Linked DNA regions of Lepisosteus oculatus. The protein of the gene in region 1 interacts with the protein of each later gene in a pairwise test. Links are inferred from orthologs where the notes say so. Each region holds a gene or a part of one and is shown on either strand. Other genes may lie near its edges.

Region 1 (16,228 bases):
CCAAGAAGACCAAGGCAAGTCTGTGGCAGTGCAACACCCAATCAAACTTTGCATATACTAGGTACTTTTGTATTGACTAGCTGAGTCTTGCTCTTCTGAGGATCATACATTGTGTGGCAATTTCTTCTGGTCCTATGGCAAATCGTCATGGTTTCAGAGCTCATGTACCAATGGTCCAGATCCTGTTTTGTTTCGGAGTTTAGCCGAGTTACTTCCAGTTTCTGAGTGCCAGATCCTGAGGCCTTTTCTTAACTGTTCGACTCAAAATAAACGTGAGCTTTTGGTACGATTTCACTTGAGTATATGTTTGCGACATTCAAATGGACCTGATTATATGCAACAGTCCTGTACTTATTCTAAAGTAAGGCAGAAACGAGGTAATTGTGTGCTCAGAGACATTCATTCATTAAATATCAAATAAATAATAATGGAAGGGAAATTATACTTTTATATTACGTTTTGCTTCCTAACTATGGGTAACCCGTGTCTGTCACGTTTTAAGACAACTATTTATAAAAAAACGACCAATAAAGATTACAAACGTTTGGAAGCTTTTATTTTTACTTTATCTTGCGGCTCAGGCCAATTGAAACGCCCACTTGTACTTACTCAGGTTTAAATATAGCCTGGAATGTATTTCATCTCGCATTCATGCGAAATCGTAATGTTCATGAACGTAGAACTAAAAGTCTGGCAATTTAGGACTAAAAAACACATAGAAGTAGCCATGCAAAAACGTTACATGCACGAAAGGTAAATCGTGCTGGACATCGTTGGCCACATACAGTAGTAAACCCCCAACAACAGGCGCATCGACTAGGAAGGTGATCGTTAAAACAGCCAATCAAAATTGAAGGGGATGCCGGATTTTTATTTGTATTAATAACTGGAGATTTTGTAAAAAGCTTGAAAAAAAATAAGATAATTAAAATACGATTTATTCTCAAATCTATACGTTTTAGAATAATGTTTTCAATCCTATTTTAGGTACAGAGGCATTTGCACTTTTAATGATCGGTTTCTTCTATGAAGAAGAGCTTTAATATTTAATGGAAAATAAACTTCATAAATAAGACGAAACCCACCCTAAATCGTGCGTAACAAGAAATGACCTGTGTGTACTATATTTCCAACGAGAGAAAACGGCGGATGTCGGCGCACAGGAACGGTTTATTAACATGAAAGGTTTTAAAGCGCCTGGTGCCAACAGAACATAGCCCAGGGAACAGTTCCATTTTAATCTGACCAGCAATATTTGGTTTTATTTTTTTAAAAAAAGACAATTTTCCCCCCCAAATACAGTAGCCTTCACTAAATGAGTAAGGTTAAACAGGTGCTCAATGAAAATTGCTTTTGGTTTCAGATTTGAGAAGATGAAAGTACATCAAATACCGATCACAAGAAAATAAAAAAACCTTTCCACTGAATGAAATCAAATACTGTTGCAAATATGCACAGCTATGAAATACAACCCCTTTCTTACCCAAATTAATTTGACTTTTATTAAACGGTTAGATTTAAAAAAAAATAGATTGATGGATCCTAATAACGGTTATTCATAAACAACTGCATATGGGAAAAAAAAACCCGTGAAGGCTAAAAAGCTTGCTTGTAGCTAAGGTGTTTCTTTGCTCTCATTCAAGCTGCTAGATGTTAAAGGGGACATTCAAGACAATGAAACCAACGAAAGACAAAACGTATAGCCCTTACCCAGGACAGTATTCTAAGGATTGTCTGTGGCTGTTTGATGAAGGCGACAGGGTCGAAAGCTCCGCCAGCTCTCCCAGCTCCGAAAGACCCCACTCCTTCCATCTTTATTCTCACTGCACCCCAGCCTTATGATGTATGGATCTCAGGCTTCGCCTTCACACAGACGGGTAGGAGCTGCAAGCACACACCCACTGGCGATCAGCGGCGTGCACAAGCCTGGCGAGTCCGCGCACTGGGGGAGAGCCTGTTTAAGCGGCGTTCCTGACTGCAGCGGGTGCAGACTCAGCCTGGGGCTCAATAGCGCTCCTAAGGTAAACAAGCGAAGCCCTCACCCCCCCCCGGGAACTGCTTACTCGATGCTCTGCTCGTAGTGCTACTGGCCGCCGGCCTTTAATTAACTCCTAGCTTTCCAAGCGCCGCCCCGATTAACCTGAACGCGCAGGCAGTCACAAGCACACGCACCGGCGGCCGCACAGGGGGGGGGGACGGAGGAGCGTCTGCAGTCTCGCTCGCCTCCTCCTCCTCACCCGAGTCTCGGGCTGGGAAGGGCATCTCAGCGAGATGTCTCCCCTCCGTCATCCGTGGACCTGCCGCTCTGGTCCCTTCGTAGGCGTACCCCCTGACGGCGATTCTCTTCGCAGCGTTTCCAGCGCCAGCTAACAAAATAAACGCCGTAAACGGGAACCAGGCAGTTTCCTCGGTGCTTTGAAACTAAAAAAAAATGCCTACAAGAGTATTATCGGCCTAGCAACGTGTTGGGGGGGGCATCCGTTAGGCTTGTAGATAAGACGAGCTGTTATTGCACGGCAGCGCTCAGTATCGTTATACATAGACCCTGACTGAATGCCCGTGAGCAGCACGTTAGTTTGATTACTAAAACCTCTGTACAGTCTGAAAGTCACTGCTTCCCGATCAGGTTTACAGAGAGGGGGACATTAGGTGGAGCCTCCTGCAGTACTACCACGAGAATACTGTACATCGTTCATCTCGCAGCCTTTAGAAGCATCATACTTCTGGAGGCGAGGCGTGTGCGCTCCCAGATTGGAAATGTGTGCTCAAGGCCAGTTCTCTCTCGTGTGGCTCAAGGGAAGTCTTGAAATGAGGGCTGGAAGGACGGTCATAGCGGAATTGTGAAAGACGACCATTTGCTAAGCTCAATGGGAGTTACATTAAGTATGAGGCTGAAATTTCCAGTTCCTAAATATCATTAAACAATATATTTACATATATTGTGCGTGGAGGGGTCTTCATCTTTTTCGCAGGATACTGGTTGTATATTGACAGAAAATTGGATCAGTCTGTGACCTGCAATGCATTCCAAGGAAATGCTTGAACGTTTATTGACTGGCCGATTGATTTTCAGACACGGGGATTCCTGCTGTTAATACTGTAGCTGCGATTGCGTGGAGGTAATGCTTCATTATATATATATATGCCATTAATTACTTAATCATTCTTCATTATTGTTGCATAAAAGCATTCATTCTGTAAACACTCGGTAATTCTGTTGTGAGAGAGTGACAATAAAGTTGAATGAGATGCATATTATGCGCCGTTTTTGATGCATTTGGCTTATGTATGTTCGCGTACGTAATCTATATTTCCATCTCTTCAATGCAATGTGTAGGCGTCATTATTGTAACCCTATAGGGCATTTGGCCTCGCAAACATGAGAATAGATAAGCAAAGGTTTATTCCATGCTGAAAAGAGCAGAAAAAAAACACGTTGTTTCCTTTCTTCTCTTTTCAGCACGGAATAAACCCTTACATGTTCCTTTGCTGCCTACCCATGCTGATGCAGCTACCTACTTGAGGAGAGAGATCGTGGTTATATACAAGGTTAATATCTGCGCCGAACAGTCTACAAGATTTTAAAACTGTCCTGAAAATAAACTAAATTTAACAGGCAAATTGAGCACTAAAACATGACTAAATTAATATTGTTCTCCGTAATTAAACTGAAGCATGTATATATTTTAATATTAATTGTTACAGTTAGGGTTTCAAATGACGGGTAGATTTAGATGAAACCTTGTTTGCTTTCAAGATCAGGTTCCCTAAATAAGACTAATTTCTTCAACGTTTGTGCAACGTTTCCAGCTCATAGGTATCAAATTTAATTCACACCTGTAGTTTAAAGTTCTGGTTTTCACGAAGGACATAAGAGAACTACACCCTCTATTGGTCAATGGAACTAATACTTCTTGAGTGATTTTTTTCTTTCACAAATTATTCAAAAAGTTAATTGTGTGATTTGGTTTAAAAAGTGTATTTGTAACTCTTAAAGTACTTTGCTTTAAGATTTAAGAGAGGAAAAATACAGAGGACAATGTAACATTTTATTTAGTAACTTTAAAGACAGTTAGTTCCATTTACCACATCAATGCACATTACATATTAGGTTCACATCTAAACTGTACAATTTAAATACAAAACACACAAAAATGTCAATTTTTTATTTTTAAATACCAAACAGTATATTTCTGAGATGAGGGTATCTGCCATGCTGTAAAAAAATTCATAGTATATTACATAGATCATAGTTCTGTTATGAGGAAACACGGGGAGGGAGCAAAAGGCTTGTTTTAAATTGGACAAGGATATTTGGTGCCGTGTTTCAGAATTCAACATCATTCATCTGGAAACATAAGGTGTATGTTATAGCTGAGAAAACAAATTGCCAACACTGGTGATGTTTCTAAAGCAAAACAGGGACTTAAGATGTGCCTGTTGTGCATTTGAGATTTTTTTTGTAATTGACAGGTTTTATCAATATAATCACTGAAATTCCATGAACAGCATATCCTCAGCCATGACGTCTGCTTCAGTGTTCAGTCTATGGTCCTGCTGCTCAATCTGCCACAGTTGTTAATGTGCTTGTAAGCTTTCCTGAAGAAGGGCGCGGCTGTAATGAAATCTAAGCTCTTATACCGATTATTGAACCCATCCACCAATTTTGTACACAGTTCGTCCAATTCTGGGTAGCAGAGCCTATCCCAGCAAGCAACAGGCACTGGGCAGGATACACCCTGGATGGGACACCAGTCCATCACAGGCCACACACTCATCCACCACAACCAATTTACCTACCAGTATCTCTTTGGACTGTGGGAGTAACCACTGATTCAATACTGAAATACTGATGCACCTACTGGTGCTCTGATGCATGATGAATACATTTCAGCCCAAATTCTTCTCCGTTATGCAAAGATTGTTGTTGTTGTTGTTGTTCAGAGGAAGCTTCATCAGAGAAGCTTGATAAAGGAGGGAAAATTCAGATGTTGCAGGGTGTGGCATTAGCACACCACAGCTGCTAGGGCTGATTAAGGACCCTTAAGACACCAACTACCTCCCCGTGGGAACTGGGCCGAGAGCGTAAGGTCGCATTTTTCCTTCGTTTTTCTTTTCGCCTGTCCCGCCCTGTACCTCCACCGGGACAAACCGGGTTGAGTTCTCTCGCGCTCCCTTTTTTCCCCAGGCCGGACCCCGTTAGATAGCGTTAATTTGTGGGGTTTTTTTTTTTTCGGTTTTCGCTAACCTCACACCGGTGCCTCCGCCTCTTCAGAAGGGGCGTCGACCTTTACCGGCGCTCGCCGCGGCTCCGCCCCCTGCCGCACTGTTACACGGTCTCCATTGGAGACTCTTTCCTCAATGAAACTTTAGAGCTGTCGTCTACTACTGTGCTTCAAATCCACAGCCTCTCACAAAATGTCTCACACCCCTAAGTTAATAATGGAAATAAAATCTCCCCCAGGTCCTGTTTAATTCTAACCTTTTGTCAAGAGAAAATATATAAAACATAACAGCTCCTGGGGGGATTTTATATTCAGTGCAGAACTGTGAAGTTGGGAGTGGAACAAGAGTTAAGGGACTTAAAATCGCCTGAAAAAGAAAAGAAACACGAGAACATGGCTAATATTTTGCAAACTCATACTCAATGGGACGGGGTTCAAGTACAACCTGTAGTATTCATGAAGCAGAGGTAGACTTGCACATTTCAAGTTAGTAAGTCATTTTCTGAAGCGCACCTTTTGCAGGGAAGTTTATGAGCTGCCCCTGTTGGGTCATAGGGTATTTGCAACTATAAACAAAGATGGGAAAATCATGTTATGTTACAGGAAGAAAGAATACTACATACATGCGTGTGTAAGTTGATCGCTTGATGTACTGTGCTACCATAAGTGACTTGCGTTAAACAGAACAGAAAACCCTTCTATACTGCAGACTATTTGTCAGGAAATGGCTCTGTATCTGCAGAAACAATACCAGAAAACCAACGAAAACACAGCACAGCCATTTTGCACTTTCCACTGGTAATCATATCCTTTGACCTGATAAAGCTGCTGTGCTTTCTCTGGTTTTTAAGTTCTCTCAAGTATCATTAAAGATACTATTGCAGGGTGTTCCCCTGTTCTGTACAGTCACAATCCAGAACTGTTATAAGATTATAGGATTTAAAGACTTCCGTTGAGCCAAAGTAAGAGCATATTGCTATGCTACTACATTGTATGGTAAGTATTTGATCTGAAAACAAAGACACGTATTCAAATACTGGAATTACTTGTCCCAGGGATCAAAATCAGGCATTGAAGAGGTAATTGATTAGCTAAGGTTCATTCGTAATTGCGGATGGTATTAGTGCTTTATTTTTCCCCAATTAACAAGCTAGAACAATTGGTCGTTGCCTTATTTAGAGGAGAAATATTCACTCGTTTGTCAAACGAAAATCGCAGAGAGACGATGTCAAACGGGAAACGGAGACCCGTTTTTCTTTTCATGAGAGCCGGGTCAGCTCACAGGACACAAAAACCAAAGGTCTCGGAGCCGAGGAAGGGAGGGGACCGGCGCGCGCTGGGATGCCTACTTCTGAAAGGGCCGTGCACGCGCGGCAGCCTTCAGTCAAGGCTCAGGGTCTCCGTGCCCAGCGGGGCCTGGTTCAGTCGCAGGATCCATCTTTCCAGCCATCTCGCCATCGTTCATCCACCTTCCCACAGTCAAACTCAGGCTTGCCCAAGCGGACGTTGATTTCGTTATGCAGGTGGCACATCCACTGAGACAGGTTGTGCCGGCTGCTCGTGTCCGGCTGATTAGATTTCAGTCTGCAATAGGAGGGAAGAATGACAGAGTAAGAATCGCCCGTGTTTGTCAAAATATAGCCTTGACTTAACAGTGCGAGGTGCTGCACACTTCTTAATCTCCCATCCTTGCTGCGAGTCTGATGAAATGTGTCATTCTTACAGTGCAACAACTTTTAACGTAATACCACTGATCGTTTACATGAAGTAACACAGAGTCGATATTTTAAGTGACAAAAACAATACACGCCATCTTTCAAATCCTCTCTACAAACAGACGGCATCCGTTCCCCCGGATGTCAGCTCTCTGCCAGGCGGAGGAGGCCAATCCCGAACCTGGATCTCAAGTCCTCGGCGCACTCCTCGCAGGGGAAGAACTTGGAGAAGAGATTGACGAACTGCTTCATCTCCTGCTGCTGGCTGCCGCTGGGCGTGTCGGGGTAGTAGGCTGCCATGGTGTGAAGAAAGGACCAGGTGCTCCTGCCCAGCTCCTCCCGATCAAGGGGGCACTCCACGGGACGCTCCCTCTCCTCCTCCCCCCGGCTCTCCTGAAGAAAGACGACCGCGTCATTTACACCCCCTGCCCCATCTCCTCCTCCTCCTCCTCCATTCCCTGGAGGTGTGATCAGTATGGACTTCTTCAGTCTGAGAGTGTCAATATACCCTTCACCCCGCCAAGCCCATTACTGCGGATTCAGTATATGTGATAAACAGGGCGGATTGGTGGCTCTGTGGCTCAGGATCTGCGCCTGTGGCTGGAAGGTTGCCGGTTCGTATCCCGCGGCCAGCAGGGGAATCCTACTCTGATGAGTAACCCTTAACCCCAGCTGCTCCAGGGGTGCTGTATAAATGGCTGACCCTGCGCTCTGACCCCCAGCTTCTCTCCGTGTCTGTGTCTCATGGAGAGCAAGCTGGGGGTATGTGGAAAAACAAATTCCTAATGTGAGAAATTGTATATGGCCAATAAAGTAATCTTATCTTAAACAGTTCTTTTCCACGTTAACATTTTGTCTCCCCATCATACTCTGTACAACAGCTCCACCTAGTGGGTGGGTTCCAACAGCCCCATATATCATCTCAAAACATCCACTTTATCAACACAGGGCCGCAGGGGAGCCAGACCCTATTCTGAGCTGAAGTGGCAGACTCAAAGGTCTGTTCCCATTGTATACCACCTGCTCCTCAGAAGAATCGGCAGAATTTGTGTTAAGAACTGGACTGTGAGGACGAAAAATGCTTAAAATCATCTGGAGCTAGACTATTTTGTACCTTCCACGTGAGCAAGAAAACCCTAAACCTCGGAGTTTCCAACTCTACATGTTGGAGGGAGACAGTGCAATTTAAAGGACAGTTATGTGCTCACGCAGAACACATCTGGTTAGGAGGTAAGGGGCTTTAGTACATCCAGTATTCACTAACCCATTTAGAGACAGCAGATATTCCAGTGTGTAAACTTAATCCTGATGAAATAAAGGTATGTAATAATATTTCAGCGTTTCAGACATAACTGCTTAAGCGTCTTAACCAAAGCTATGCACCTGGGAGAAAGATTCCCTCCTGACGTTCCTGACCTGCAACACGTAAAAACTTCCGAGACCTAGAAGTAAAGGGCAAGCAGACGGCAGAAAAAAAAGAAAGTCGTGAAACTTCAACATTTTCACGCGTCCCTGACAATGGGATTCAGTCTCCGTAGTGTAGAAAAATCTCGGCGACAACTCCATGTCCAAACCTGAAAACTGATCGTGCTATTTTTATCGTAGGAAGTCCGCAATTCTGCAAAGACGCGAGAAAAGAAAATGTATTTTGCACAGAGTAAACTGTAAAGCTGATCAGTTTATCCCACAATGATACTAACACTGCAGTTAAGTAAGCAGATTTAAATAATACGATCCACGTGTAATATTAACTGACTTAAACGTGATCCGAATACATTCTAAATCCAATGTCTTGACTCGGACAAGTGTAGCACTGAATTGAACCTCGTTTGCATCACCTGAAGCGTTGACTGTTTCCTCTGCTCTTTGATCCACGATTTAAAATCCATGCAAGCCCTGCAAGGTTTCTTTTTATGTTCATCCGTCTTTTCCGACGCTTTTTCAGAGGGGACAGCTGGAATCGCGAACGGGAAACCGGCAAGCCCGGCTACTGAAGAAGGGTCAGGCGCTCTCGTACCGCCGGTCGCAGCCATGTTCAAGGCGCAAAGGCTTCTGGGATGCATTCTATATTTGACATATGACAGACATGTCTCTTATATAACGCATTATCTCTGGTCTGTACATATGCATATAAAACAAAGACATTTCAACAAATACATTAATTTTATTTTATTTTAACCCTCCATCTTTTTATGTACATAAAATAGAATGTAACAACGTATAATTATTTGGTCATCTGAGTAAATAAAAAAAATACTAACGCGAGCATGTTCTCTATTATTTCTCCAATATAGCTATATTTTCAAAAGATAATATATTGTGCTTTTAAAGGGGGTTCTATCACACGTTACCTGCCCTGAGCTGAAAGACTTTCAACTCAAAATACTCTGGAACTAAATTCTCTTTCGAGCGGGTTTGGTTGCACTCCGAACTATTTTACGGTGGCTCCCTTTTCCGGAGGGAGTAATTGTCTTGTGCATGCACTTTGTGTAGGGAAGTGTAGAAGTAATATTATTGTCTCCTTATTGACAGTCTTTCATTTATTTTCAAAATATATATTAAAAACCGTGTTTAATTATTCAGGCCGCTTTATGGCTTGCAAAATGTTGCAAATGCTAAACGCTCTTTTGTGAAATTCGAGCCTGGTTTTGCGGACAGGACACGTTGTGCGTGACAGAGCTACATGTCTTTTTAATTTCCAAGTATTCTATAAAAGGACACCTCGGAGTTAAAAATGGGAATCCTCGAGAAAATATCAGACATCGAAAAAGAAATTGCACGGACCCAGAAAAACAAAGGTACGTTCGGTGATTTATGTTAGCCTTTAAGGCAGGGGTAGCCACAAAAACGTGAGAAAAGATACAGACGAATACAGGCTATTCAGCACATCCAGGCCATTTAGTAGTTATTCGTGAATTGTTCCAGTCATTTCTCCCAGCTGTTTCCTGGAAGAATCCAAGTTATCCGTTTCAACAAGATGGCTGGGTAGCTTGTTCCATACTCCCACGACCCTTTGGGTAGATCAGTGCCTTGTGTTCTCAGTTTTAAATGCACATCTACGTAGTGTCCCCTGTTCTGGTAAGAACATAATAATTGTTGTACATTATGATAAGTCTTGCAGGATTGGTCCTTAAAAAAACCAGAGCGCTGAAGAACATTGATAATTAAGGATGATCTACAGCACAGCAAAGACTTGTAATGGGATGGAAGTAACAAGTTAATAACCCCTGCTTTAGTGTTGCTTTTACAGTTTTAATGGGGGGGTTGGGATGACACAGAGAAATCAACCAAAATATTATAGTAGAGAGTAATTGTGCAGCAACATCAAATGAGTTTTCTGCAGCACCAGTTTCAAAACATGTTAGTTACATTTTTTAGGATATAAGGTATAGATTTCCTTGACACTACATTGTTGTTTTTTTGGGTTTGCAGCAACTGAGTACCATCTGGGTTTGCTGAAGGCTAAATTGGCAAAGTACAGAGCCCAGCTGTTAGAACCTTCCAAGTCAGCTGGCGCCAAAGGCGAAGGCTTCGATGTGATGAAATCGGGCGATGCCAGGGTGGCACTGATTGGTTTCCCATCCGTGGGTAAGGTAAGGCACCTACTTTCTGCCAAAGTCCTAGTTTTTACTCTGCCTATGTGAAGGAAAGGTTTATAATGTGTGTCGGAATTGGCGTACAAAGGTATATTACGCCATAGGTTGTTTGAGGAACTTCCTAAACTTCTGATTGAGGCGATGTGATGTTTCTGTTTCGTAGTCCACCTTCCTCAGCCTTATGACATCAACAGCGAGTGAGGCCGCCTCCTATGAGTTCACGACCTTGACCTGTATCCCTGGAGTTATTGAGGTATGGTTGTCTTGCTTTCCTTCTTTGAAAAGGGTGCACATGATTTCACAAAGGAGCCTTAAATTTGTTTGGCATCCAGGTCAATGCAATGGCAATATGAATCCACCAATATTTTTAGAGGTATTCTCTTTGTTTGTTTTTTTAGTTTGTTTTGTAAAAGGAAAAACATCAAAAGGTTTTTTTTTTGCACGACACTGGTTAACAGGTGATGTGGATTTTTTCTTGCAGTATAAAGGTGCCAACATCCAGCTGTTGGATTTACCTGGGATCATTGAAGGGGCAGCACAAGGTAATTTAATTGGAAGTGATAGCTTTGTGATCCCTTACAATTTAGGAAGGTTTTAATTAATAAGACATCTCATTTGCAATGTGATGACCCTGGTGTGTTTTCAGTGCTGGGCTAGCTTCTCAGTGAGCAGCCATTTTGCTGGGCTGTAGGTGTAACTGGTGCTAGCATGGCCTTTATCAGTGTGTGGGTGCTGGTCTTTGCAGGGAAGGGTAGAGGAAGACAAGTTATTGCTGTTGCCCGAACTGCAGATGTTGTCATAATGATGCTGGATGCCACAAAAGGGGATGTTCAGAGGTTAGTGATCTGCTTTTTAAATAAATTAAATTATTTATGCGTCATATGAAAAACCTCCAGTTTAGTTAAAAGCGAGTATGCTGTGTCCCTGAAAAACAGTTTATTTAAAATGTCTTCCTATGTTTAAATGCAGTCCTTGAATGTAATCTTTTATTTATTTTTTTTACAGGGGGCTTCTGGAAAAGGAGTTGGAATCTGTTGGAATTAGGCTCAACATGTCGAAGCCTAATATATATTTCAAGGTATTATCTGGGGTTAACTTATGTACAGATCAGCAATAAAGCAAATGTTAGTGTAAATGAGAAATAGCCACAACATGCTTAAAATGTATAACATGTTTGATTATAAGTTTAAAGTGAAGCCTTATATCTGAATTTTCTTGGAGCGATATTGATTTGTAATATTTTTTTTTCAGCCCAAGAAGGGTGGAGGCATCTCCTACAACTCCACAGTCCCCCTTACCCACTGCTCTGAAAAACTAGTGCAGCTTATTCTTCATGAATACAGTATCCTTTAATGTCAACCTAAAAAATCCGCTTGTTTTCGGGTTGTGATAGCGTGCTTTAATGTGTCTTACCCTAGCGGTGTGCTTTTTGCTCCAGAACAACAGGAACTAAGATACAGGGTGATTTACATGTCTTCTCTTTCAAGAGATTATTTATAGAAACATTACACTGTTCATTAAACCTTTGCTTATCAATTTTTTATTAATGGTGGCTGTTAGTTTATGGTCTCTTTTTAAAAGATGTTTTTTTTATTATAGAACCAGAACAGATACAATAAAACTGTGTAGTCATTTCATACAGGAGCATCAATAAGGTTTAAAATTGTTTTAGTGACATTTCAGAATGAGTATTATGACTTCCCAATGTTTGTGTTGTTTCCTCTCCTTTGGGAAAAAAAACATTTACATTGCTTAAAAGCAATTTAGATGACCTAATATGGTGCAATATGACAAACTGCCGTGTATAACACTGAGAAATAACTTGTGTGTTTCATTGAAATAATCAGAAGATATTAAGACACCAATATACAGATATGAAATATGTTTATGCATGTTATAAACATTTTCTTTAAAAAACATCCTCACAGAAATCTTTAATGCAGAGGTTTTGTTTAGAGAAGACTGTACTTCAGATGAGTTCATCGATGTAATTGTGGGAAACAGAGTATATATGCCATGCTTATACGTAAGTATAAAACGGTGCTGAGTGTTTTTTTTTTTATCTAAAGGGTGCAAACTGACAACAAAAAATAAATTGACTCTCATTTTTGGACTTTAGAGAAATTTCTTGTCAAAAAGTGTAGACCTTTGTTTTTGCAGGTGTACAATAAAATTGACCAAATCTCGATGGAAGAGGTAGACCGTTTGGCCAAACGACCCAATAGCGTGGTCATTAGGTAAATATCCTGTGGCCGTTTTTCTTGTTTCAGAAAAGAACAGTGGCATTGTTGCACTTTTTCATGTTTGCTGATAAGACCATGTTTTTTTTCAGCTGTGGGATGAAGCTTAATCTAGATTACCTTCTTGAGACACTTTGGGAGTACCTGGCCCTCATCTGCATCTACACTAAGAAAAGAGGAGGTATCCTTAGCTCACTAAAACATCTGTTCAGTAGACACAGAAGTTAACAGTGAATGTCCTAACTATTTTGTCCACTGCAATAACTAATTTTGATTCTCTGACTGTGGTGGTTTTAGAAGGCATCAGTGTTTACAGGCAATTATATAGGCTTCCCTTTCTCTACTAAAAATGTACTTTTTATATAATACATTTATTCTGCCATGTTGGAGACTAAGAAGAAGATAAAATAGCCCGTTGCTCGTTTAGATAACGAAACAGCATAGTTTTGTTGTATGAAATGTCGTTAGTGACCTATTCTTCATCAGAGATCGGGTTACTTAATGAATTGTCTTGGGTGGAGCGTCTTGAGGTTTCCCGTTTTAAATAAAGCGTGGGCTCTTCTGTTTGCCATGCTTGGAGAGTTTTTGTTTCGGCTGCTTCGTCCATTAAAACACCAGCAAATAAATTCCTAGATTTTCTTGTGTCCTCTTTCACAGTATGTGTGAAGTTTATATCCTTGTGAATTTTTACAATGCAGATTTAATGACATGCATACCTATGTCACTATACGTATCTCTAATCAAAAGAAAACCCTGTGTGTGAATATAGCTAGTGCTGGTGACGATGTAATCGCTGTTGAACCTTTTTTGGCGTGGGTGCAGTCCGATATTAACCTTTCTCATGATTAAAAACCCAATCCATTCTTGTGTTGTTTCTAGAGAGACCAGATTTCTCAGATGCAATTATCATGAGGAGAGGAGCTAGTGTCGAACATGTGGTAAGCAGATATTTCACGTCTTTTTCCTTCTGCCTTGAGGTGTTTAAAATAAAATGAACCAGTTTTGTTTTTCCTTCAAGGAAAGCACAGAACCAAGGAATAGTGTTTTCTGTTCTCACTGTCTAAACTGAAAAACAACCACTGTTTGCCAGAGAAAACAAGCTGCGTTTCACGTCACACTTCAGCCACTGTGCATTTTCCCAAATGAGTCTCTTGGGTATAGTTTACAGCCCTTATAGCTCAGTTTTCGGTGCCACAGTTTACCAGCTGATATATAATCTGGTTGTGCGTTTATTTTAACCTGTTGTCGAGCAAGCTATCCAGGGAATATTCATTTCAACTTAATGGAGATGTTTGTGGTGTATATTTACAACTACATTGTTTATGTTTATAATTGTGGTTAATAATAAAACAATCTGTTTCCAGAGGACGATGGCTAATTATTGTTAAAGTGGGATGTAGCTGATAATTGCCTCTTAATGGATGGTATGCCACTGTGAAATAAACCTGGAAAAAGCAAAACCCTGAGCACAAAGTAGTATTTTGTGCCGTCTCCCGGGTAGAATGAAGAATAATAGTCCTTTCAGTAGTGATCTGGCAAAATCATTGTGCGCCGACATAGTCTGTAGGTGGCCAGCGCTGTGGATTTCAAGCTGGTGTCCAGTACAGTTTAAATTCAGGGTTTCATATGAGCTCATGTGACTGGACTTATTGAAGAACTGAAATTGTTCTTGGGGTTAAGTAGTTCAATGAGTATATGTGCTTGCCTGAGTGCCCGTTGAGCTCTGTGATCGTGGGTTCAAGCCCGAGTCTTATCACTGCTTGTCTTGAGACAGAGATTCCCCAAACGGTAGCACACAATTGGCTGAACAACCCCAAGGGTGGGCTGCGATTAGTTGGCCAGGGTTGTCTCAGCTCTTAGCAGCACAGAGACCCCTGCAGCCTGCTGAGTTCTTGAGGGCTTGCGGCACTGTAGGGGAGTGGTGCATCTATCCTCATTGCAGAGCTGAGCCCTCGGTACCGGGCTGTGCTGCCTGTGACGTGTCATGAATTGTCAGACGCTGAATTTAAAAGAAAATTATAATTGTGGATTATTTTGTTGCAGACACCCGATTTTTGTTGTAGCCTATTGCGTGTTTTTAACCTATTGGCTTAAAGCTATAAACCTGGCTACAACACACAGGGGAGAGGGGGGACACGTAGGCAGACTCCCCTGACTCTGCCCACCTGCAGTCCCTCTCCCTTTTTACCACTTCGCACACAGCACCGCCCCAGAACAGCAGGAGGCTGAGCTCTGTCAAGGTCAAAGGTGTGTGTGTCAGAGGAGCATTTCTGGCCTCTCCTGTGGGACATTGTGGAGATCGCAATTGAGAGCCGAGATAGACGGCTTTTTCAGAAGGAGTTGTTTTAACAGAACTTATTAGAGATTCTAATTTTCTAAAAAAGATTTAAAACAATATGCATAACTTGAAGAGTACAGTTTAATTCCTTTTCTTATCTTTCAGTGCCATCGGATTCATAGAACACTAGCTAGCCAGTTCAAGTACGCACTGGTGTGGGTAAGTACGTCAGCTTTGTAGGCACATTGATTCACGCATGCTTTTTGGATAAGAAGTGGAGTAGCTGTTCGTCTTGATAATGTGAATGTTTTTTCTTCATGTCTTTAGGGAACAAGCACAAAGTACAGCCCTCAGAGAGTTGGGCTCACACATGTCATGGAACATGAAGATGTCATCCAGATTGTAAAGAAATAAAATATAACAGCCTGTGTTTTGAGCAATAACCATGTGGCCAGATGCAGCATAAAGAATCCTTGAAACAATTATCCTTGGGACACTTCAGTGTCAGGAAATAAAGATGTGCATCTATTTACAGCATTTATAGAAAACCTACCTAGCAGGTTCTTATTTTGTGTAACAGTTAAAGATCATATACAATCATGCTCTCTGCAGAACAGGTCCTCCTTAGATCTTCAGTCAGGTGGTTCCAGTAATGTTATCTATGCTTATGCATCAAATGCAAATAAAACTCAAAAAGAATGTCACCATGAAAAATGTTCACATCTTTTTAACTGCAGTTACTGAATTTTGCAGCTGTTTTTACTGGATGTAATGTCTGATAATTGACCTGGCAAGACATCTGGAACATGGAAGAATAAAAGATCAAATTTCTGCTTTGCTCAGTTTATGAAGTTCTGCTCACGTTAACCCGCCTCTGTACATGGGAGCTGGTGGAGATTCCTAAATTCACACTGGGGGTAGGTCAGCAAGTCTAGAGCATGAGCTCTCCTTCTGTCAGGTGGGAGATTCAGGTGTCAACATGAACAAATACTGACACAGCTGGCAACCAGACTAGAGGTGGCCAATGGGAATCCAGACCAGCTTCCTCAGGCCCCTTATTTTACCCCTTTGTCAGGTCAGGAGAGGGTGTGGTAAAGGCAGCAAAGGACAATGGGGATCTTCTGCTTGCATTTTCCAGTCATTTGCGGTTCCGATCTTAAGAGGCAGCTCAACT
Region 2 (16,759 bases), on another chromosome or scaffold:
CCTGCTTTGTACCATGCTTTTACCCTGCTCACACTGGGCCTTACAGCACTGTATTGTGCTTTTACCCTGGTCTCACTGGGCTTTACTGCACTGTACTGTGCTTTTACCCCGATCTCACTGGGCTTTACTGCACTGTACTGCGCTTTTACCCTGATCTCACTGGGCTTTACTGCACTGTACTGTGATTTTACGCTGATCTCACTGGGCTTTATTGCACTGCACTGCACTGTACTGTGCTTTTACCCTGATCTCACTGGGCTTTACTGCACTGTACTGTGCTTTTTCCCTGATCTCACTGGGCATTACAAGATAGTGAGAGCACTGTTCTGTACTTTTACCCTGATCTTCCTGGGCTCTACTCCACTGTACTGTGCTTTTACCCTGATCTCACTGGGCTTTACTTTACTGTACTGTGCTTTTACCCAGATCTCACTGGGCTTTACCACCATATGTAAGACAGTTTTATCTCTGGTGGAGTCAAATTCCAACCTCAGTGACTCCCTGGCTGTAGATGAATGCTGCTGAAACAGTCTTTTTTTTAATGCTGGCAAACCGGCCGATCTTTCCCACATCAAAACAAACCTCGTCTTTTTACATGTGTGCGGTGTAGCCCGCCCCTTGTAATCGCCCAAAGACCTGAAAATCAGGTTCGTTTGTTTTTTCTGCGCTCCTGTGCTGTACGACTCCCCTCCTGAGACACAATACTGTTCTCAGAAGGCCAGCGCCTGGGGGCAAACCATGAATTGGAGCCGCGTTCCAGTCGGTTAAAAACTCGGGCAAAAAGAAAGCTTTAGCTAGCGTATACGTATAGCTCTTTCTTTCTTTCATGCTGAAGCTTTTCTTTCGTCTATCTATAAAGTGGGGCGTTATACTGTAGCCACCTCAATGAAGTGCCTGGTTCAAGTCCACAATGGCAGATCCCCAGCTGGGATTCAAATCCACTGCCTTGTAGTTTCCGCTTCAGAGCGCTGACCAGTGCACCACAGGCGCTGATGTACATGTCGATGCAGCGTGCCCATTTCATCGTCCCCGGCCTTTGTGAAGTATCTTTCATCCCAAAGGGTACTTGAGCTGTTTCCACATAGCAGGGGACCCACTTCACCCCCACCTGGGAGAGACACAGCAGCCTCACCCCAGGGGGAGGAGAGAAAGGTGAATCAAGAGGGGAACAGCAGGGAGGCCACACTGTGCAAGGCTGACAACACCTCCTAAGGGTCTAAGCAGGAGCCCCTTCGCTGATCAAAAGCTAAAGCGATTCAGTTCTTTGAGCGCAGGTGGGGGTGGGGTGGGTGGGGGGGACTCCTGGTCCCGCAGCACCCGAAGAGCTGGGAGAACTCGTTACATGGGTTCCACTCGGGCGATAACGAGCTGAATGAGCTCGTTAGGAGCTGAGCCTGGAATGATGCGATGCAGACATGCCGGCTGTGCCAGAACAGGATTGCCCATCCCATTTTAAACCGAACACATTCCTCTCGGTCCAGGAATGAATTGATGTACGTCATTCGGTTCGCAAACAGCTGATCGGCACGTGTGTGTATTTGTGTGTGGTGTGCTTGGCTTGTAAAGCCTCTCTTAGGGGTCCTTTCACCTCCTCCAGCAGAGATACAAAAGAAAACAGTCCAGGGAAACCTGTGATTGCCCTCTTTTTTTTTTTTTGACTCCTATCTAAGAGTTTATTTTTACAAGCGGAGAAAAAAGAAAACCCAGACCAGTTCTGAAAGTTCCCTCTACGCGTCTGCTCGTCGGTAGCTGAACTTCCTCTTTAAAGAAACCAGATGCCCCAGAGCAGGGAATCAATCATAGCTGAACAACTGCACAGGCCTTTAAAAAAACAAAAAAGAAGGACGACTCACTGCAGCCGAGTGCCAGACTGTTCTGGGAGATCTTACTGATGATGTCGGAGGGCAAGGAGGACATCCAGGCCTAAACTCGGCTGCTACAAACCATCCGTTGTGAGTGTGGTTATGTGAAACAGGGGCTCTACCCCAGACCATGAGGTCTCACAGCTGCACCTGAGCTATTAAAGTGCTCCAGTTAAGGCCGTAATTAGCTCAACTGGATGATTAAGAGTTGGGCTGGAGTGGAGGCCCTTCAGGTGCAGTAGTCCTCCTGGCCTGGAGTGGGGGCCCCCTTGATGTAAAGTGACTGACCCCCCGAATCAATTCATCTGCTAAACTGATCATCTGATCGGTGTGCGCCACACGTGCGCCAGGTCTTTATAAACAGGTGATTGAAGGGATGACGTGTGAAACCCCGCTGAACTGTGGCTCTGCGGGCCGCCCTTGTGTTCCGCATTTTCAAAAGAAGGGTAAGCTCTTGCCCAGTGAAAGTTACTGCCATCCCTTACTGTTTCAGCAGGACTTTTTCCCCAGCGCTGGAAAGCTCAGACCAGTCTCGGCAGGCGCAGGGAGGGCCGGCTGCAGTTCGCGCGCTGTCTGCTGGTCAGGCCGCAGCATGAGTCACGCAAGGTGGCGGCTTCTGACTGGAATGCGCTCTGTACACCTATGGTCCTGTCGAGACAAGACTGTCTTCCCGGCACGCCGAGGCAGCAGTCACTACCGGGGAAGTCGAGAGGATACGGAAATTCGGGGAGGCTGGAAGGAGGAGGAGGGGGGGTGGTGGGGGGTTCAGGGTAGTTGCCAGTTGCAGAGGCTAGTGTGCGCGGTCACGTAATCCCCAGCTGACCTGCGGACAAGCACTTCACGACATGGCCGCAGGGCTCCGCCACGAGAGCGCGGGTCCGAGGAGATGCAGGGGAGGTCAGGGCGGCAGTGTGGGAGGCAGTACTTTACGCAAAGAGTAACGGGTGTGTATGGGAGTGAGCAAAGGTTTACCCCCCTCTCCACCCACCCGTAGTCGGGATCCGAAAGCTGTCAGGCTACCTCATCCTGTGTGTGCGTTATCCAAGGCCTCAGACTGTGAGGGAGCCCCTTATGTGCATGAGGAGCCCTGTAAGATGCTACTTGCATTCACTGTGCTGAAGCTGCCAGAGTCACATGCACTAGTAGTCGGGCAGGGGTATCCTCGGTTTGTGGCTCAACAGCGCCACCCCTGTGGCCAATGCGGATGCATGCAAGCTTGCAGTGATGCCACTGGGAGCTGCATCTGTCCTCTCCTCAAGCCTGAACGCTTTTTTTGCCAAAGCTGGTACAAGTACCAGCTTGAGGATGAGGATTCCAAGCTAAGGGGAATTAAACTGCAACCCAGACGTCTGTTCCCTAACCCTAACCCAGAACCCACTTGATCTGTTTCTTCTACAGTTTCTCGCTGTGATCAAGGTCATCGCTTGGTTGACCCTGATGGAGTCAATGAGGTCACTAGGGTCACGTGTGACACGTTCGCACAAGTAAAGGCTGGGAGAGGTAGGGCTCGGGTGAAGGCAGTCTACCTTTCAGCAAGAATGTCACTAGGACATTTTAGATGTCATAGTGGCGTCTGTTCGCTGGGGCTGATGCCATGCTTGATACTGTACATATTGGCTCTCAGCCCGCCGGTAAAGTTCTGCTGGTTTTGTTTTGTTCTGTTGCACCACAATCCAGTCTGAATGAACCACTATGGTGTTGTAGGGCTTTCCATGCCCGTAAAAAAGAAAACCCAGAAAATTATAAGGAAAATATTAAGGAAATAAGGATGCTCATCGTACGCTCTCTCCCTCTTCACAGCCCCGGGGGGTCATGGATGAGGAAGACGTAGCAGAGATAAACACCTCTGTTTCTGATCGGACCTGTCTGTCATGCCGGCAAGGTGAGTTGGCACATTCTTCCGACAGACACTCAAGTACATCACATTCCTGCAAAGTCCTAGCGAGGAAGGAAGCAGGACAGGCCAGACCGGGTTGTTCATGATGAAACAGCTGCACGAGCTGGTGATGACTTTGACTCCACGGAGTCTCTGCTCCTCAAGTCCTTTGGGGACCCCCCCCCCCCCAAGTCATGTACATTAACATGGGGTTCCCTGTCCTGGCCCTGGAGTGTCCCTGTGCCCATTAGCGTTTGTTCCAGCAGAGCTCTTGATTAATGAAGCTTAAAGAATATTGAATTGGTTTTTAAACAGCCACACTCCATGGTCAGCAGTAAATGTCTTTATAGATCTAATTTGTGTGTGAAGTGTGGCGACAGAGTTCGGATTCGACTTGACTAAAAGCGGTAGTTTTCCTTTACGATCAATGAGTTGGACATCAATTAAAGATGCGCAGAAAAAGGTAATCCTGCCACTGTGACAGACGCTCTGATTATTCCACGTGCCGTACAGCCTGCTGGAGAAAATCTTTGAACAATAAGGCCTAAAGGAAAGGAATTCTGAAGCCTGGCGTCTGGCATAGGGTAGATGCTCATTTTTAACTTTCTCTTCATGTTCAAAAGAAATCTAAGGGCTAAAAATATATTTTTTTTTCCCCAAGATTCATTGACCTTAATGCATTATACTTCTGTTTCATGCAGTGCCTTTCACAACACAGAGTGCTTTACAAAACAGTACTAGAACAGGAGAGGCCTAGCCCAACTGGAAGAAAAAATACCAATACCCATACCAAACACTAAGGTCCAACCCTGCCTCGCGCACCCTTCATTTACAGTGTCTGTGACCCATTATAATGTCCTGCAGGGTTCGGGTATCAACAGCAGGCCCACTGGGAGCAGCTGTGGAGTTAGGTATGGGAATGGTAACCTTTACTGGCCTGGTTGAAGACAACCAGGCTTTTGTATGAGAACTGTCCTGGTAACCATACCATCACAGGCACCGTCACAAGATCTCTGTACTGTGAAGGTCAGGCACTGGTTTTGATATAGCAAGCTCATGCACTGCAAGTAATGGAGAAGCCCGACCGGCACAGTGTGAACCCTTCTCCTTTGGGTGGTGTGACTAGTGCACTGCAGAAACGACACAGCAGACAAAGGTGCAGCTTCAGGTTGGAGCTGCCAGGAACATGCCTGTGCTGGGTGTGACCCAGGCAGCAGTATCTGGGTCTGCCGTCAGGAGAGGCACGACTGGCCTCTCAGAGGCTTATCATCGCGGTACAGAGGAAGGCCTGGGTGCCCATCTTTGAGCACCTGAAACACCGCGTACAGTCACCAAAGTTTTGTGGATCCCCTCTTTACCGGAGGAGGGTTTGCTTCTGGAAAGAGGATTTCTGCAGGAGGGACCAGCTACAAGCCTTATGCTTTACCAGGGCTCTTTGGAAATCCGGGCAGAAAGAGGACTGAGGACAAGAGGCACTGTTTTTACTGAATCTGACGCCACGCAGTGCAGAGAGACATTTCCTGGCCCATGCTGGATTGAGAGAAGTGGGGAGGTTTGGATTGGAGTAGGCTGGGGACACCCTTAATGAGATGGTGCAGTTGCCCCCTTACTTCCAAGTTATTTCATCATGATGATGGGAAAAGCCGAATTAAATGCTTTAAAGCCCACTGCCGTTAAATACAATTGCAGTACAGTGCAGTAAAGCCCATGAGATCAGGGTAAGAGCACAATACAGTGCAGTAAAGCCCATGAGATCAGGGTAAGAGCACAATACAGTGCAGTAAAGCCCATGAGATCAGGGTAAGAGCACAATACAGTGCAGTAAAGCCCATGAGATCAGGGTAAGAGCACAATACAGTGCAGTAAAGCCCAGTGAGATCAGGGTAGAGGCACAGTACAGTGCAGTAAAGTCCAGTGAGATCAGGGTAAAAGCACATTACAGAGTAGTAAAGCCCAGTGAGATCAGGGTAAAAGTACAGTACAGTGCAGTAAAGCCCAGTGAGATCAGGGTAAAAGCACAGTACAGTGCAGTAAAGCCCAGTGAGATCTGGGTAAAAGCACAGTACAGTGCAGTAAGGCCCAGTGAGATCAGGGTAAAAGCACAGTACAGAGCAGTAAGGCCCAGTGAGATCAGGGTAAAAGTACAGTACAGTTCTGTAAGATCCACTGAGAGCATATGCCCTAGATAGGATTCTACTAGATAGGTCAGGTAACTTAAAGATTGCCACAGAAAGGTGGAAGGCAAATTAAATGTAAGATGTCAGCATGGTTTATTTGCTTGAGCAACTTTAACTGCCAAAGATGAAGAAATAGGATCCTGGAGCTGACACACACACACTGCTGAAAAAACAATTCTGGGCTTCTCTGAGGGACTCCTGGATCATCCTGGATCCCAGTTTGGAAAACGTAACCCCTTAATCAAGTGCCGCCACCCCCCACGATGGAATAAACAACACGCTCCTGTGGAGATGACCGTAGATCAGGTCGCTCCAGTCAGGTGTCTCCCGTCTGGGTCAGGCAACGTTTCCTGCTCTTCTCCTGCGTCGGCTTCGGAGCGGCCTGGCGCTTTAAACCCGGGAGTTAACGACTGGGTGCTCCTGCCTTGGGGAAACTCGGTCTCTACCTGGAGGAGTGTGATCCCACATCCCTGTCCTCTTGGCAAGCCACCCAGTGGTAAGGACCCCCCTTCTAACGTGGCCCCCTGCGGGGCGGCCAGAAACCTTCCCCTTGCGCCCCCAGGACAAGGAGGCAGGCCGTGACATGCGGAGAGGCAATTTTATTTCAAAGACTTACCCGTGAGGTGCAAACTGGTCTTTCACATCTGTGTACGTCCCCATCCCTTCGCCCTGTAGGCAAGACCAACGGGTCTGAGCTCGTCTTAGTAGAAGAAAAATAACGATGGTGATGATAAATCAAGGCATTAGTGAGTCGTTTCTTCCCCCCAAAAAACCGGCCCAAAGCCCAAACGCTCTTTTATTTTCCTTCCTCTTCTGCTTCTGCGCGCCGGTCCTCTTGTCTCCTCCCAGCAGTGGCGCCTCGTCCACCCGGCTCCCTGCACGAGTCTGAATCTGTGACACTGAGCCCGTCTCTCTTGGCTCTCTACCTGCGCAGCCCTGGGGCTCGGGCTGCTCTCATTGGCTGAACACACCTGCCCCCCTGTCTCTTTCTTCTTCGTGAAGCAGCAACAGCAACAACAACAATGGAATAAGAAAGGAAGGAAGACTGGGGCTTTGCTAGGGCCACTCCAAGGTCCTAAAGCCCAGCCTCTACAGAGCAGGACAGCGCCGCGCGGTTTGCTTTCTGGAAACCACAGCTAGGATTGCAAGCGCAGCAGCTTTTATTAGGGAAGTCTCTTCAGCAGTCAGCTTTCTGTCTCATGCTCCTGCCCCAGGAAAATACTGGAGGATGTCGAGCTTCATGGGAGTGATCCAGCCCATCCAGATCATTGGGAACAGCCCAGCAGGAGGTGATCCTGCTGTTTCTGATGCTCGTGTGATTTTATGGAAGTTTGTGAACTAATAGCAGATCAGGCATTTCTGCCTCAGCGCTGACCTCACAAAATGTCACAGAAAGCAACAGCAGACCTGGCTAATGTGTCACTTAAGACAGCCTCAAGGCTTAACTCTTACTGGATCTCAGGATACAGATGCAGCATGTATGTAGCTGTACTTATGGACCCCATCCTCTATCCCCCCAGTCTAAGAGAGACCAGGAGGTACAACAGTAAAGCCCCTGTAGTTCTGCTCATCCTGCAGTTTGATCTGTCGCTTTTAGATCTTTTTTAACAACCATTTCACAGCTTCGCCAAGATCGTCTGCAAGGAATGGCACCAATCTCTTACCTAAAGGACACTGCTATGGGGGATGAACAGGCCAGAAGCCATATCACTCTGCAACTCACAACTGGCAGCCCACTGAAGCTCCGCAGGTGTGAGCCTGGTCAGTACCTGGATGGGAGACCTCCTGGGAAAAACTAAGGTTGCTGCTGGAAGAGGTGTTAGTGGGGCGAACAGGGGGCGCTCAGCCTGTGGTCCATGTGGGTCCTAATGCCCCAGTACAGTGACAGGGACACTATGCTGTAACCAGGCGCCATCCTTCGGATGAGATGTGAAACTGAGGTCCTGACTCTTTGGTCATTAAAAATCCCAGGGTGTTTCTTGAAAAGAGTAATGGTGTTACCCCAGAGCATGGCCAAATTTCCCATTGGCCCTTACCAATCATGGCCTCATAATAATCCACATATATATGAATTGGCTTCATTACTCTGCTCTACTCCCCACTGAGAGCTGGTGTGTGGGGAGCGTTCTGGTGCACTATGGCTGCCGTCGCATCATCCAGGTGGGGCTGCACATTGGTGGTCGTGGAGGAGATCCCCATTACCTGTAAAGTGCTATAAGTGGAGTGTCTAGAAAAGTGCTATATAAGTGTGAGCAATTATTATTAATTATTATAACACTAGGCTTGAATCTCCTCTGTCACCCTGCCCCCTTGTGGACACTTGAGAGATCCACAGCTATTTCGAAGTGCTTCTTGGTGGGAAGAAACAGTTTCACAGAGTCACTTTCAGTTCTTTTTCTTCACAGAAACACTTCTTTGTTCGAATGCAGATGTAACCACATTTCCTAGTGTGCAATAGTCCGGCCTTGAAAACCCCACCTTTTAGCAAAGCAGTTTTAATTCAAATGACAAAACTCTGTGCTAACCGGAACGTGGGTTTATCTCATCTGCTGCAGTTAAAGCCTCTTTTATCAGCTACGGAGAAATTTGTTTTTCCACAGAAACAGCAGGGTGTTTTTTTCAGGAAGTCAAATAAGCCGGCGATTTGATAATGAGGTTGGATATGTTCTTGACACAATACGCGTCATGAAATGGTAGGCACAACCACACCACATGCTCATTGTAGAGGGAGTCCTTTTATAAAGCTTTTTCAAGAGATAGGTACAGACCGATCTGAACTGAGTTATGACTAATTCAAGCCAAGATGATCCCAACAAGTACTAACTCAGGGGTGTGTACGGTTATCCCACCCATTTTTCTAGGTTTTCATTTGTAATTACTTTTCAGAATGTTTTGAGTTATGTTATGAGGTTGTATGTTACAAAGGTAAACAGAATTTTGGCTTAATCTTAAATTTAAGTCGTGAATTCAGGCTGTTAGGACACAAAATGTGTTATTTTGGAAATGGCTGGGTAGACGCATTTACCAATTACTACCTCATGCTAATTTTCACTTTTCCAAATTTTGATCTCATTTATTAGACTGCTTTCAACATAATTCTGAGTCCCCGAAGACAGGTGTGTGTGGGTGCACACATTCCTGTGTCTGCCTTTTCACTAATAAAACCAGTACCAGTGTCTTTCTGGGGTTGCAGATCACACTTTACCAACGTGTTACAAAAAAAGCCTGAGATATCCACTAAAAAGGCACCTTTACAGGAGCATCTGCCTTTTCTACTCCCTAACGCATCAGCGGTGCTCATTTTCCCCAGGTTGTTAAGACTCTATCATGTTATAAACTCTAAAACTGGTTGTAGGGAGGTTAGCACAGGGTTTAGAATCACTGCCTTGCCATACCACTGGGGCCCTGGGTTCAATTCCTAGCCCGTGTTGCTATCTGTGTGGAGTTTGCATGGTCTCCCCATGTTCTAATGGGCTTCCTACTGGTGCTCTGGCTTTCTCCCACGATCCACAGACGTGCCGGGGGGCTAATTAGCTTCTGGGAGAGTAGGCTGCCGTGGGAGTGTGTCTGTGTGTCTGCTCTGCGATGGACTGGCGTCCTGCCCAACGTGCATCTTGGCTTGTCCCCATTGCTTGCTGGGACAGGCTGCGGCTCCTAAGTGACCCTGAAAGGGTCCAAAGGGTGGACCGGTCGTTGGGTTATAAAGAGTTTTCGAACTGCGGCAGCTGTTAAAACTGGTGAATGAAAGTGAGTTTTTTTTTAAGAAAAGGCACGAAAGCAACAAATGACACTCAACACAATTCATTTTTTTAAAGAGAACTGTATTGATTTCAAGATTTCAGGGTCCAAACCATTCCATACAATTGGCCTTGGCATTCATGAGGTAAAAAAAAAACGGACGGACTGTTGTCATTCCGGGGTTTTTGCATATCTAGGTACCAAACACTGGTTGTGTGGGCAACCAGTCTGACGCGGGAACTGGCCGTTGCCCGACCCTTTGGAAAATTCTTGCAAACGTGTGGGCACAGCTCTCCTCGGAGATGTCAGCTGGAAAGACCCGGGAAAGCGGAGTAGGAGGGGGAGCTGGGAAAAATCTTTGGATTCCTGTTGGAGATTTATTGGCATAAATCACCGCCAAGCAGCTGACAAAAAACACACACACACACACACATATGCATGTGCTTGTGAGGCCTGGGGTGCAGCTCTCACAAGAACACGCACAACTAAAGAGGCTGGTTTTACATCTGTAGGCACTGACGCCGGATAAAAAGCAAAGTTAATTTTGTGCGACTCTATTTGGAAACCACTGGAGCCGGCGCAGTGTTTACAGGGGTCGTGTGGCCATGTGTTACTCTGGACAGCCCTGGATGTTTCTCGTATGGGCTTTGGGGGGTACAAGGGTACACATTCCCCCAACTAGACAAGGCCCCCTGGTACCTGTACCCATTGTGCCGGCCCTGGGACCCATCACAGCAGCAAACTGCAGTATAACAGCAAGGGGCTGGTGTGGGCAGAGGTCACTGGCTCCACAGACCCCCACTTTCTGCCCAAATAGCCGGTACCCCAAAAGCGGGAAACGTCAGCGTCAAGACTCAAAGACCATCATTCTTCTTCTTCCCATGTTGAGAGTCTTTAAAAAAAAAGGGGGTCACAAAATGTCCTTCGCAAAGCAGGAATATGTTCCCAAATGCTCCCGGCTCTGGGCCCTGATAAACTCTAGGCAAGGAAATGAAATCCAGGTTTCAGAAACCGGGCTCAGCGGATTTCAAGCCTCCAACACGAAGTGGTTCTTTTCTGCAATGTGAGATTTCTTGTGAAATGTCTGACGACATGAGGGGAAAAAAAAGTGGTGCTCCTTGTCCCTCCGGATAACAGTTCAAGATCCCCGAGAGCACCTACGGGTCCGGGATCTCTTTCCGCCCGGGAAGAGCAGGTCCTGCCAGAAGGTCACGCCCGGATGGGCCGTGAATGTGTCGTCCTGCCCAAGGGTGAAACGCCACAGCCTGCTCCTCTTTCGACGGGAGACTCGACGGCTCCGAGCGTTTTGGGAGGGAGGGTGGAGCTCGCAGGTCCGTCCGGGCATGGGAAGTGTGGGCACAGAGAATCAGGGGTCCCCTGACCAGCAGACTCCCCACTCCCACACCAACTTTGCATTAAAATTTGGAACCTTCAGTTGTACGACACCCAACCTGCGTGATGATGACTTCAGCTTTACCACTACAACTCAGGCGCCCCGCTCGTGGCGGAGGACGAGAACCTGCCCCAACGTGCCCAGCTCTCATTCGCTTGACGCTCGACACGCCGCGAGCTCCACAGCGGCCTGATGGGAGAGCCGCCATCTCTCGCCAATGCTCAGCCGGGCCTGGCAAGTCCCAGGAGCCATCGTTGTGCCGAAAGCCGGGACAGCGCCGAGCGACGGACCACCCCCCCCCCCCACCTCACTCCCCCGGCAGTGCCCGTCCACGCTGGGGAGACTCCTGGCCGCAGTCGGCTATTCTCAGCACCCAGGCTCGAACCTGTGATGTCTCTCGGCCACGGGGCGGTCAAACTGTCTGTATTTTGCTGGAAGCTCTCCTTCACACATCCTCCTCAGGGGACAAAGTCTCGTCCTTTCAGAATACTGCACGGTCGTCCTGTCAGAGAGGAGGGGAAGCGGGTAATTCGGTGGTGACAGGGGGCAAGCGGGAGGGGTGGGGAGTGGGGAGTGGGATGGCAGGGGAAGTGGACAAACTGTAATATTTTAGAAGTCGCTCGCATCCCCTACGGCCCCCCCGAGGAAGCGTCTTCTTCTGAATTCTCTTCGGCCATCCTGCCAAACTTCTCCAGGATGGCCTCGGCGCTGAACCTGGGCGGTCCGTTGTCGAGCGGGCACCCTTCCACCAGGCTGTTCATCGGCGTGGGCGGCACCTGGGAGTCCTCCTCCTCGGGGGTCGGGTGGCGGTGACGCCGGGAGGCGGAGCACCATCGCAGGCGGGTGTCCTCCTCGAAGGGCGGGCAGCGCGAGGGGTCGAACTGGTCCTCCAGCTCCCCCAGGTCCTCCACCTCCCCATAATGCCTGGTTCTCCCTTCAAGCCCCCTCAGGAAGGTCTTGAGGATGGGCATCACCTTCTTGCGGGATGCCAGCGTGTTACCCTGCAGGTAGGCCTTGACGTCCGCGTAGGGGCTACTCATCGGCGACAGATTCAGGTCAGGGTTCTGGGCTCTCTCCAAGGCCTGGCTCACCTACAAATCAGGGGAGCAAACACGAGTCCCCATCAGTACATAATCTGCAAACCCCCACCACCACCCCACGCTGGCTCAACTTAAAACACGTCCAACAGCTCGAACAGTGACAAGAGGAACATGACCTCACAGGCTCCTGACAGCCTACAGAAGTCTCTGTTGTGTGGCCATCTGAGAGCATCCCCTGATCTCTTCATCCCAGAAATGACCACAGAGCTGAAGTTGTGTGCCCAGAAATGCCCACATGCTCTGGTTTTATGCATTATGCTGCTCTGGGGAAACCTCATTTCTGCTCTGGCCTGTACTGGGGTACAAACGCTCTCCTGATGTCTCTCGAGCAGGGAAAAGTGCTCAGTTGTGTTTCCCTAGAACGAAACAGCATCCTGATTACAAACTGCAGTGAGAAAGTTTGTGATCTTGGTCATCCCCTTGGCTCCATCCTGCACCAACGTCCCAGTGAGTGAGCGACCCTGTGGAGACACAAAGCTCTGGTGCATTGTGGGAGGCAACCCTGAGGGACACAAGCTCCTAGGGAATACCATGAAGGTCTGCCCCATGTGACTGGAGGAGGCACCCCTCTCTGGGCAGTGAGGGACCCGAGTGACCCCAGGCTCCAGGGGGTACCACACAGGCCTCCGGCATCCCTGGGGGACAGGGGTCCTGGTGACCGTAGACCCCCGTTTCTATGGGCTCACCTGCTCCCTGAGAGCCGTGCTGGCACTGTAGACGGCGATTTGGCGGAAGGGCTCCTTTCTCTCATTGAAGGAGATTGTCATGACAACCAGGACGCTGTAGCGGTGTCTGTGGCAGAACTCACACAGCTCCTGCTGCAGACCAGGCCTCTGCAGGAAAGTCTTGGAAGGGGAAATTCACAATGACATTCATAAAAAAGCATTTAAGTTCAATCTTGAGTATCTGCTTCGATTGTTAATGAATAGTTCCCCATTATAGCCTGTGCCTTTACAACAAACGTTCAAGCTTTTCTGACTTTTTTTAGTCGGAAGACGCTTTTACAATGAAAGGTCTTCAAGTCCATCGCAGATAGTCATTTCAATTAAACATTAAATTCATGTCTCTCTCAAGTCCTCAAGTCTCAAGCCCTTCTCTCCCTCGGAAATCATCCTATATATTACGTGTTTTCAGACTGCAAAGAACAGAGCACTAAGAAGACAGCAATCGCCTGCAGGGAGCGACAGGGTCCCACCTACCTCCAGGATCACATAGACCACACTGACGGCCAGGGACACATCGCCGCCGGACTCCGCCTTCATGTCCTTCAGCAGCATCTGCTCCGTGGAGAGCCCTGTGGAGAGACACACGGAGACGCTGCCGGTCAGTCAGTGAGTTTCAAGGGGTCAGAGGTCAGACCTCTAGAGGGACTTAGAGGGACACTGCTGGTCAGCCAGCGCAGTGCACGGGGTCAGAGATCAGATCCACAACCCACTGTCCCAGTGTGCAGATCTCATCAAAAGAAGGTCAGGGAGGATCTGAATGGTACTCTTAAGAATTTGGGGGTGTGTAGCAATATCATGAGTAAACTTGACACGTTTTCTGCAATGGGTCGCACGCTTTCTGAAACAGTTTTTTCACATGGTCCAGGCTGTATGACTCTTCAGTCCTGGATGACCAAGCTAACCTGGCTATCTGCGCAAGAAAGCTGCCTCTCAGCTGACCATGGTGTGGTCACTCAGTTTCTGCTACATCAAAATAGGTGAGTCCTACATTACAGCGACAGGAAACCCCATCATCTTAACCACTAGATGGCAGCCTAGTCAAAACTTTATCTTTGCGGTGGGGGAAATTGGTTTTAGGAGAAACTGAAACCCTCTTTCTTGCACTTCAGGACTGACTAGTCTGTTGTGGGAAAAAAAAATTACTGGCATAGTTTCAATAGTAGAATAGGTTGGCCAAGTTTGTGAAAATATTTTTCTTTAATGTTTTTAAGACTAAGCCTAACTGGCACCTGTAAGTTGTCCTTCTGTTTGTGTGTGTGCACCCTGCAACAGACTGGCACTGCCCTATGTCTGCCAGGGTGGGCCCCCAATTGTCTGGACCCCCTACAGCAGGGGCCAGTCCTGCTCATGGAGATCCTCAACCCAGCAGGATTTAAGGATCACCCTGAAACCACTGCTTTCTAAAACACACGGGAGAACTGGTGGCTCTTCAGTCGCATGTCTCCTGAAACAACAGTGAAAACCACCCTTTTCGGAAATCGGCTGGCTGTCCTGGGTGAGAGGCGGGGCCTCAATCCTGCCCAGTTTCGCAGCTGGACCTGTGTGCGTGGCGCCAGACTTCTGGGGTTCGTCCTCACCTACTTGGACTTGTTACCTGCGCCATTAGCGGAGACCGAGGGTCAATCGGCAGTACCTGACACGTCAAACTTGGCGTTCTGCAGCGCGTCGAAAAGAGCGCCCCTGGGGGGCAGGTCTGGGAAGCGCGCCTCCAGCAGGGCGACGTACTGGCTGTCCTTGGGCGTCACCTTCCCGGCCTCGGGCGCCATGTTGACGCAGTCCAGGACGATGGTACCTGGAATCAGAGAGACCGGGTCGGGCTGGTTCCACACCTTCCGACTTCTGATTGTAGCGTTTTTTGTGGGGGGGGGGGGGGGGAAAGTTTTGGAGGTGCAAATTATTTTCTATTGCATACTCGCACGAGTTTTGGGATTACCAACTGTTTTAAGACAGTCCTTAAATGCGGGATTTGGGGTCGTGGGGGAGCTGGGGTCTATCCCGGCAAGCACCGGGCGCAAGGTGGGGTACACCCTGGATGGGACTCCAGTCCATCACAGGGCAGACACCGACACACTCACGCTAGAGACAGTTTTCCCCCCAATCCAATTAACCCACCAGCATGTCTTCGGACTGTGGGAGGAAGCTGGAGCGCCTGGAGGAAACTCACGCGAGCATGGGGAGAACATGCAAACTCCGCACAGATAGAGCACCCCAGGAATTGAACCCAGGGCTCTGGCGCTGAGAGGCAGTATGCTAACCACAGTGCCGCCCTGCTGCCCCTTCTGAGAACTAGAATAATGAGAAAATGTGGAGAGAGAAGGGATGCTGATGAAAGGCGCTATATGAGCATCACTTTACCATATAAGAGCTGTGCCACCTGTCTGTCCAGGACCTCCGGCGCTCTCTGGCTGATGTGCTCCGTCACCAGAGTGGCACAGGAGCCCACAGGCTCCACAGTGAGAGGGCAGGATGGGGAGGGCACCCTATCCAGGTGGTGGTGGTCGATAACCTCCACTACCGCCCCCTCCAGGCTACCGTCAGCTCTGCAGCAGGAAAAGCACAGATGGATCCTGATAAGGTTACATCGGCAGTCACTCAGAAGTCAGTCAGACATCAAACTTAGGAGATGGTCTCCTGGGTGGCTCTGCTGGATAAGGTGCTTATATTATATTAGGTGAGTGAGGACAGCTCATTAAGATAACAACAGTTTTATAATTGAATTATTATGCTATTATCTTGAAAAAGAGACTTTATGTGGTTTCCTGAATAGTCAACCGGTACAAATGCTCACCCTGACCAGCAGTCTCACACTCAGATTGACTGATCCAGTCTGGGCCGGGTCATACTGTAACCCTACAGTCCAGAGATCGCTGGTCCAGTCTGGGGTGGGTCACACTGTAACCCTACAGTGCAGAGACCACTGGTCCAGTTTGGATGAGATCACATTTCAAAGCAGTTTTACAAGCTGCTGCACTGTTTGTGCATGCTCCCTTTTAAGCAGGGTGTTGTGTTACAGCTGTGCTGGGTCACTCATCTGACCTGGGCAGGATGTTGTGGTCCACCAGCGTCAGAGCCAACCTGCCGGTCCGGTGCAGTGCCTGCAGGTCGATTTCATCCCGAAACAGCAGGCCCTCCTGAGGCAGGCCGGCCTCTCGGAGGAGAAAGGTGTTCTCTGGGCGCAGGGGGAACTCCGAGCGCCGGATATTCAGTACCGGCACCACCGCCGGGTTTGCAGTGGTCTGAGGAGAGGGACAAACGGATGCTACTTTTCTTTTAGGATTTTTATGTATTTTACCTAGCAAGTTAATTCAAAATTTTAACAAGACTAATAAAAAAAGTAAGAAGCAAAAAAAACAACAACACAAAATACATAAAAACAAAAGCAAAGAAACCAACAGCCCAATAAAGAACAGAAAGGTCAAACTTGCTCATGCCTTTTTACAGTTTTCTTGTTGAGGTTAGAATACAGTCGATGTCTGCGAGAGAAGTAACAACAGAATCACTGGATATGTCAAACACTCAGGGGTGTGTGCAAATCCCAGTCTTTTCCAAAACAATCAGGACAGGGAGCCCAGATCCTATGGAATCACTCCAGAGTGCCTGTCCTGTAGACACAAATCCGGAATTTTTTAAACTTGATAAAAACAGAACAGATGGGAGCAAAAGGGAATGCAGCAGAGCGTATGGGAATGGAATGGAGTGGATCCGAACGGAGTGGTTGGGAACAGAAGTGGAATGGAGCAGATGGGAATGGAATGGCTTGGATCGGCATGGGTTAGTACGGAACGGAGGGGAGTTACAGTTCCTGTCCGGATCGCAGAGCCGGCGCGCGCAGTGGGGGACCCACCTTGGCTAGGAAGTAGGCGAAGGCGAGGGCGGACACCATGGAGT

The links.
Region 2: the proteins of gfer (region 1) and bnipl interact in a two-hybrid assay, tested with the Homo sapiens proteins (2 studies listed by BioGRID and IntAct). The link is inferred for Lepisosteus oculatus from reciprocal best matches to the Homo sapiens genes GFER and BNIPL.

Annotation. Positions count from the first base shown.
Region 1 is NC_090714.1:12,798,198-12,814,425, forward strand, and holds gfer (FAD-linked sulfhydryl oxidase ALR), read right to left. Parts: upstream 9,005-16,228; 5' UTR 9,004-9,004; coding exon 8,779-9,003; intron 7,770-8,778; exon of another isoform or gene 7,334-7,769; coding exon 7,122-7,333; exon of another isoform or gene 7,063-7,121; intron 6,810-7,062; coding exon 6,647-6,809; 3' UTR 6,331-6,646; downstream 1-6,330. Other genes in the region: syngr3a (synaptogyrin-3a), read right to left, coding at 1,711-1,812; drg2 (developmentally-regulated GTP-binding protein 2), read left to right, coding at 9,675-9,738, 10,373-10,533, 10,700-10,789, 11,018-11,078, 11,282-11,372, 11,542-11,614, 11,788-11,878, 12,465-12,562 and 5 more.
Region 2 is NC_090722.1:5,500,251-5,517,009, forward strand, and holds the start of bnipl (bcl-2/adenovirus E1B 19 kDa-interacting protein 2-like protein), read right to left. Parts: upstream 6,980-16,759; 5' UTR 6,576-6,979; coding exon 6,532-6,575; intron 3,745-6,531; exon of another isoform or gene 3,663-3,744; intron 3,363-3,662; exon of another isoform or gene 3,261-3,362; intron 1-3,260. Other genes in the region: prune (exopolyphosphatase PRUNE1), read right to left, coding at 11,676-12,137, 12,833-12,991, 13,346-13,440, 14,505-14,663, 15,227-15,411, 15,908-16,107, 16,716-16,759. UniProt on the Homo sapiens protein: May be a bridge molecule between BCL2 and ARHGAP1/CDC42 in promoting cell death.